Danio rerio: one gene and its partner. The protein of the gene in region 1 interacts with the protein of each later gene in a pairwise test. Links are inferred from orthologs where the notes say so. Each region holds a gene or a part of one and is shown on either strand. Other genes may lie near its edges.

Region 1 (3,824 bases):
GGCGAGAGGGGAGTTTGAGCTCAGGTAGATCTCGAAAACTCCCCTGCTGTAGTACACCTAATGAATTAAGCAGCTTATTTAATAATAATAATAAGAAGAAATGCTCCCCGAGCTCCAAATCAGCTTTTCTGGATGATTCATGAAGGATCATGTATCACTGGAATAAATAACTTTTTTTTTAAGTCACCAATCAAGAAAATTATTATTTTAAATTGTGATGCTTTCACATGTCTTTTCCTGTAGTTTTGATTTAAAAAAGTAACTTGATTGGAGATGCAAGCGTGCATATAATTAAAACTTTGTCACTTTGCAGCATTATAATGGCGGTTTTATAAAACAATTCCATTCAGTCCTCCATAATCGAGCTGTGTATTTTCTTCTGACTAAGAAGTTTTTTGGAACGTGATGCTGAATCTGCCACTGCAATTGGAGAATGACAAAAAATGTGCCATTTTGTATGTCGAACACAGACTACCATGATCATTCCTATCCTTTTTTTTTCAGATTCCTCAAGCATCTCTGAAAGTCCGACGGAAAACAGGTCTTGGCAGAAGGAGGTGCAAGAGCTGCTGAAGAATCCGGGTTTGAGGAGAGACATGCGTCTGGCAGCTCAGCACAACCTGGATGATAGACTGCAGAGCTTAGGCATCAAGGTTAGTGTTTACACCTTTTTAGGGGGTTTCTGACAACCTACTATTTAATGGCATCTTTTCTCAAATCTTGCAGCAGTAAATATGACATACAGGGTTCTTACGGGTGCTGGATATCCTTGAAAATGCTTGAATTTTAGATTTTGAAAGATGTCCTTAAAATTTTATTTGTAATTCTGCTGTCAAATTTTGTTCTTAAATAGATAATTAATAGTAACTAAATAGTATTTAAATAAAATAGTACTTTTTCTTTTACATAAAATGCTATCTGCCAGTTTTTTTTAATCAGTGGCCTTTGCTTAAACAGCGAGAAGACAGAATGCATGGAGAATACAACTCCATGAGTGAACAATGCATGAAATAAAATAAATATACATTTAAAATGAAATATGACACATTGAAGATGCTTGCAAATGATCAAATGACACATTTAAGATGTGAGCAAATCTAGTTCGTGCTAGTCTTATATAGTGTTATGGAAAATAATTAATTAGCAGTTGTTCAGCAAATTTCTATACAAGTAAATGAATGCTAATACAGGGCTCGAAATTGCGACCATTTTGGTCACATATGCGCCCGAAATTTTATTTATGCGACCTCAAAATATATTTGGGAGCACTTTTGCGAGTGCTTAAAATTGTTGTGTGCGATCAGTTTTTACTCCAAAATGTTCACCACATGCGCGGATTCGTGAGACATTTTACGCAGAATGCATCTCTAAGCTGTTTGTCTGCACCTGAAACGCGAAACGCAGCATTCAGGAATGGTTTACAACAGTTGTCATGTCAACTTGCTGCAGTAAACAAAGCCAAGTCCGAAATGCTTGCCCCGCCTACGCGCTCTTCTTATTGGCCCACCACTGCTCTAGCACTGAACGCGAATGATTGGTTAATATCAGCTGTCAATCACTCAGCGAGTGCCTTCTGGCTTGGGATGACAGAGAGAGCTACTACCGCGAAAAATTGTAAAGCGCTGAAGATGAGAATGAAGATAACACTGACAGATTTTGTTTTTGAAACCATGGCATCTGAAGTTATAAATAATGACACATCGTACTAGTGACCATGTGCTGAATGTTAATCTACCACCTACACTTTTCGAAAAGTGGATAAAAGACTTTCATTGGCTTCAAGTCTGTGGGATGGAATTTTCAGGTAACTGTTTGCCACATCTAGCACGCGAGCTTCTGTTTAATCCTTTATATAATTGCCAGATGCTGTCTGCCATGCAAGTGGCAGCTATATGTAAAATTTAACACAACGTACATCATCGCAAACGGGCTTACACTGAGTAAAGTAATATCTAACCCGGGCTCATTGTGGAAACGTAGCCCCGCAGACGTTTCTGCGGACCGCGAGATACGTCCCGGGAGGTACATATTCGAGCGTTTTTTGTTTTCGCCGAGCCGCGAGAGGCCGCTGTGCGCGCTTTTTCGCGTCTCGGGCGCCTCTCGGGAGCGCGCTCCGTTCGCGCCCGCGCTGTTCTCACGCGAAAAGCCGCCAGATCGGCCAACCCGGCCGCCCTCCTCTTCCTCCTCCTCCTCCTCCTTCACTAAACCCAAGCGACGGTTTTCAAAAGCTGTCCAGAAAAAAACAAAAACAAAAGCCCTCGTCTTCGATTTAGACCGCGTTTTCGGATCCCGCCACGTTCTCGCCCTTATTTTTCGGATTCTGTTTTTCATCTTACCTGATTTCTGTAACCGCTGTTCCCCAGACTCGATCCCGGTCGTCGTCCTTACGGCCGGCTCCTCCTCCTCAGGGGCCTCAGCTCCGCCGACGCAACGCTGTGAGCTAAGCGGACAAACTGGTTGCATCGGGAAAGCCCTCCACTCGGAGGTGAGCCGTCGGCCAGCAAGCGCGAAGAGGAGGAGAGGAGTGGCGCTACACCACCCCGCAGCGTTCGCTCGAAAAAAACTAAACGCAGCCGTACGTACCTCCAGCCACGTAAATCGCGGTCTCCAGAAACTTCCGCGGGGCTACGTTTCCAGAATGAGCTTGGGTTGGCAATATCGCTACTCATGAAGACCGGTATGGCTATTAGCATGATGTAACGTTATGCATAATGCATAATGCATAAGTTACGTTTTAAAAATCTATTTTCTTGTGATAACGGGATTTTGTTGAAACATATTTTCCTCACGCTTGCATATATATTTTTTTGCTTGTTAGTTTGATTAGTGTTGATTTCAAATCTTATAAATATGTTTGTAGTAACGGTGCTCAAAATTGTTGGGTGCGACTAAATTTTGCCTCATGCGCCTAAATTTTTAAAGTTCGGAGCACCTCTCCTACCAAGCAAAAAGGTTAATTTCGAGCCCTGTAATATAATGGTAGGGGAAACTCTGAAGGGGGTACATGACCAACCGAATGAACAAAAACATGATGTGAACAAAAAGAGTAACCTCAGTTTCTGTTGTGCTGTTCAGGGAGTCAGTGGTCTGTCTAAAAACCTCTATAAGAGCAGCATGACCCAGATTATCAGCGATCGGCGGAAAAAACTGGAGGAGGATCCTGTTTATCGAAGGGCACTGAAGGAGATCAGCCATAAACTGGAGCAGAGGGTGAAGGAGAGGAACACAGAGCAGCCTGTCAAACCCAAACTACATGAACAAGGTCAGGATCTTTGATTTCACACACAGTATCAAAGCTGAGATATTTTTATTTGGTTCTTCTTAACAGGTTTATCTGTTACTAAAACAAATAGAGTAAACATTGCATTTAATTTTCTCTCCACCTGTACAATGTAAAAACATATATTTAATGTACACAATAAGTACATTGTATTAATTAATTTCAGTGTAATTACATGTTAGTTAAGGACAATTAATATAAAGGAGGATATTATTGGCTGTTTTTTATGTGTTTTTTTTTTTTTTGGATGTACTTGATGTCAGTTTTTTGACGTTTTGACATTAAGGTGACTGCTGGGTTGCTTTTTATTTTTACAGTAAAGCTGATGTCTTGTTTTCTTACAGTGGTTCAGTCCAGACCCAGATCCAGCAGTTTTCCATCGACAGTAACTCGAGTGATGTCTGGCCCTGCTTCTAAACAGCAAAGAACCCCTCAGCCTGTCCCACGCAGCAGATCCAACGTCCCACACAAGACCTCCACACCACTGCAGCATCGCAGGTACAGGACTGAAGTGTTCAGGAGAGAATCAGTGATCATAGTCAAT
Region 2 (4,404 bases), on another chromosome or scaffold:
GTCAAATGTATGATCATTTACAGTCATTTGACACCACAGTTGAATTCTAAAGTTTCTCTGATACCTTCATGTCTGTCAGACAGTTTGAAACACTTTGCTCCATTTAACATGCTTTTTAAACTATATTAAATTATATTTGGGTGTTATAATCAGTGTTATATCATACTTTATTTTTTATTCCAATTCTAATACTTATTTCCAAATGTGTAATGCCCTTTATTTGAGATTGTCCTTAAACGTGGGTCACATTTTCAGTTCTCTATTGATTGTAAAGCAGCACTTTACATAACTAATCCATTTCCAATTAGCCCACTGCTTTTTACGTATTGAATCTCTATAATGCAGTAGGGTTTTTTTTTTTTTTTGTAATGATTTAAATACCTTTTACATTATAGCACAGCCTTTTTTTCTTTTTGTAAGTTTGTGTGAATAGCTAGAATGTCACTTAACTAGAAAGATCTGCCTCAAAGTTTTCATCCTGCTTGTTATTTTGTTTTATTTTCACTATATCTTCAGCATGGTGGGTCAGATATGCTTTTTGCATACAGAAACTTAATTTTAGCTATAGAAATATGCCTTGTTCACCTAGACATGGCCTAGCAAACAATTTTAGATGTCTGTTAGGTATCAAAACGTTGAAGGATTGGCTAAAACAAGCCTAAACTTGGGCTGTCATTGAAAATCTAATAGATTAATCTAATATAATAGCCCAAAACTATAGTCGTCAAATAGACAGATTAGACTATGTGTGTATTAATTTCTGTTTATGTAATAACTAGTCTAGTTTTGGCATATTCTTAGACATCCATTAGATTTTCACTGACAGCCCAAATGTAGCCTTGTTTCAGCTAAGACCACTGTCTAGACGTATATTAGACATTTTTTATAAACAAAAAAGGAAGTTGTTTTAAACATTTTCTGTAAAAATGTGATCGTTTAAATTATTCTCATAAAAAAGTTACATTTATTTGCGTTCTAACTACGAATATTGATTATGCGTTTGTTTTATTTCTCAATTTGAGGATTGTCCCTTTCTCCTTTGACAAGGCTCCAAGTTCAACTAACTCTCACAGTGTTTCTCTTTAAAATGTTTAATTGTGGACGTTGTTTTTCCTGTATGTTTGTTTTATTTTATAATTTTATTTATTTATTTTATTATTTTTTTTTTTTTGAGTGGTTGAACGTTTGTTGAAGTTTTGTTGCATGTTTTCATGCGAGTTCAAGGATACAGTATCTTTTTATTTGTGTGTTTCCCTAAATACCATTAAAACAAGAATCTGATTGGTCAGTGGGCGGAGCTTGGTGTTTGTGCTGGCGCTCGTTGGACGAACATGCTGTCACTCAAACGCGCCACGGGGTTTTATTTTTAGACTCCATTGAGGCGCAACAGCAGCTGAATGAAGTTCAGCGGGTCTGAGGAATTTTACCCTCGGCGGATTCGCATTAAACTCTTTTCCTCATATGGAGTGTCTCCTTGGATAAACGCGACTGCATTTTTGTACTCGACATTGTTATATGGTTTTGTAAACATTTAAGCATGATAAAAGCACGTCAGTAACTAACGTCTACGTTTATACGTCATCTTAGGGTACCTGTGGATCATCATGCAGCCTCCGCGAGTGGGCTGACAGTGTCACATTAGATGGGGTCTCGTGAGTTTAATGCATAGCACAGTCAATGGGATGTCTGCACTCAAGTCTAGAGAACATTTAGGGCACACTCGTTCACTGTAGGCGCAGCTTTTTTTTTTTTTTTTTTTTTTTTTTGCTAGATCTGCTCTGGAAATGTCGGCGATTTCTGCGTCGGAGAAAGTGGACGGGTTCACGCGGAAGTCTGTGAGGAAGGCGCAAAGGCAGAGGGTATGCCAGGGCTCGTCTCAATTTGCGGTCAACAGCAGCAGGCCTGCGGCTCCAGAGATCTCGGCGCTCCCGCAGCTCAAAGGTAAGAGGATAAAGCTCTGCAAATATACACTCGCGGGCTGCGTCTTAAACACTGGGCAGCTGTCTAAAATATAAAGGAGCTCCTATAAAGGAAGTTCCCTTCATAAAAATGTGCTGTCGTTTATAGGAAGCACTAGTGTTTTTGAACCACACTATAGTAAAGTTTATTCGGGATGTTTACTGCAGGTATATATTATAGTGTTTATCTATAGCAAACTGATATACTAATAAATAATGTGGTATACTGGTGTATTGTAGTATGATATAATGTTACTATATTTGTAGAAGGTTTGTACAGTAACAATTTGTTTGTTAATGTTACTGTATTGCTGTTTCAATAGAAACTTTAGAATTACCACAACACAGTAATTCAAGTACAACTATACTATATAAAAGCCACCATATTTTCCAGAAATTACTTTAGTTAGTTTTTTTTTTTATGTTGAAAGTAATCAATCTTGGCATTACAGGTAGCTTGAGTTACATAATCAAGTAACCAAGGTTTGCGTTACTTATTACCAAAATAAGCAACGGTGAACTAAAATATGACTTTTTTTTTTCCTTCAATTTTATACGGTTCCTTTTACATCATTGATGTTGTAATGCAATTAAAATATAATCTGTTAAAAAGACTTAAGCGTTCATTTAGTTATCTAAATGAACTTAGTTCATATTTCAAAGACAAAAAAAAAAATAATTTGATGCAGTGCTTTTTCTATATTCTTAGACCTGCTTTATAGCGTATAGCATTTAGGCAGTGAAGATCCTTGATTTTTAAAGAAAACAGTTCTTATAAATGCACAGATTTTGTATCTGTTCACCGGAAGCACTTGACCCTGGTTACTGCAAAATTAAAAGGCCATCCGAATACTTCTGCAAATATATCCTATTTGAAAAAAAAAAAAATGGTGAGCAAGTGTAGAATACAAATGTATGCATTGAGCACAAATATATTCATACTGTAATTATACCTTAATTGGGTTGGTACACCCCCCTCCCCCAAAAAGTCTGTTATTACCCCTACTTCGTTCCAATCTCGTAAAGGGGTGTTCCACTATGATATAGTGATTGGAATTTCAGATCATTTTATTGACTCGGATCTTTGAGTCTCGTTCGTCGAGATGAACAAAACTTTTATCGAGTCATTTCGTTTATTTGGTTCAATTTTCCAAAAGAATTGCTTCCAAACACATCTACAACTAGCCCAAAAGGTTGATTACACAACAAATAAGTCATAAATAGAATACTATAAGAAGGAGAAAATAATAATTCAATGTTTACACGCTCTTTTGTCTATGAAGGTATTGTGGTCTCTTTGCTTAGCTCACCTCTTCATGCCTTCAAATGTCAGTGGTTCGTTCACGTTACACTGACAGTCACATATAATCTTAATTAAAGTACACAATCTGAGCCAATAGGAGCCATGATAATTAGTTCACCTTTTCGAGTCTTCGAGTCTTTCATTCATCATGTGACAGAATGACTCAAACCCAAGAACTTGATAGGTGACCGGATCAATTATTTTTCCGGCTCTAAACGCATATGATTGGCCTGTGAGGAAAGAATGACTCAAACCCGAAAGAGGACTCGATAGATGAATGGATCTATTCTTTTACCGACTCTAAACGCATATGATTGGCCTGTGGGGAACGGATGACTCAAACCCGATAGACGACTTGAGAGATGAACGGATCAATTCTTTTTCTGTCTCTAAACGCATATGATTGGCTTCTCCCTTTCCGCGATGAACGACTCAAAAGATACCACCTGCACAAATGTATGCACGCGCGAATGAATAAATCACTCCCTGAGAGGGCTTGTAGTTCAGAAGTCATATTAAAGATTCGTTCAAAATGAACGAATTGTTCAAGAACGACCCATCACTACTATGATATCATATTTTAAACACTTAAAGGGTGACGAAACACCAAAACACATTTTTTAAAATGTTGACACTTGACAGTCGTATATGTGTCCCACACTGCTAAAAACACTATTAGGACACATATATCTCACTAAAAAGTAAAAATTAGTTGTTTTTGCGTTATTTTGAGCAAATTCGTACTTCCGGTTTAAAACTAATTTTTGAAGCTGCATCACGGCCATGAGATCTTAGCGTGTATTCCAGCTTGCAGACGGGACGTCTGTACCTCAGCGTCCCGTATTATGTTTCTGAGTGTGTTGCATTCATTCATGAGTAAGGCTTGGTTCAAACCAATCAGAGCGCTCATTATGTATGTTGCTGCATGCAACTTCATTAATATGCATGCTAGCTTTTTTAGACTGTACCTGAAACAGTGTTCAGACGGCAGAGAGACAACACACGTTGTGTTGCCAAACGTTGTGGGAAAAGAATAAGAACTGTTTGGAGATACGGGTCGCCAGTGTTGCTTTCATCATGTGAAGGTTTTATTTCATTTTCTCTTCATGAGAGCGCTGCTTAACCCACGTGAGAGGAAAAAAA

What was found.
Region 2: the proteins of dzip1 (region 1) and ppp2r5a interact in binary tests that used the Homo sapiens proteins (3 or more experiments, as listed by UniProt). The link is inferred for Danio rerio from reciprocal best matches to the Homo sapiens genes DZIP1 and PPP2R5A.

Annotation. Positions count from the first base shown.
Region 1 is NC_133181.1:8,204,101-8,207,924, forward strand, and holds part of dzip1 (cilium assembly protein DZIP1), read left to right. Parts: intron 1-504; coding exon 505-653; exon of another isoform or gene 654-756; intron 757-957; exon of another isoform or gene 958-1,330; intron 1,331-1,640; exon of another isoform or gene 1,641-3,075; coding exon 3,076-3,262; intron 3,263-3,624; coding exon 3,625-3,778; intron 3,779-3,824. UniProt on the Homo sapiens protein: Molecular adapter that recruits protein complexes required for cilium assembly and function to the cilium basal body.
Region 2 is NC_133195.1:14,410,886-14,415,289, forward strand, and holds the start of ppp2r5a (serine/threonine-protein phosphatase 2A 56 kDa regulatory subunit alpha isoform), read left to right. Parts: upstream 1-1,368; 5' UTR 1,369-1,784; coding exon 1,785-1,941; intron 1,942-4,404. UniProt on the Homo sapiens protein: The B regulatory subunit might modulate substrate selectivity and catalytic activity, and might also direct the localization of the catalytic enzyme to a particular subcellular compartment.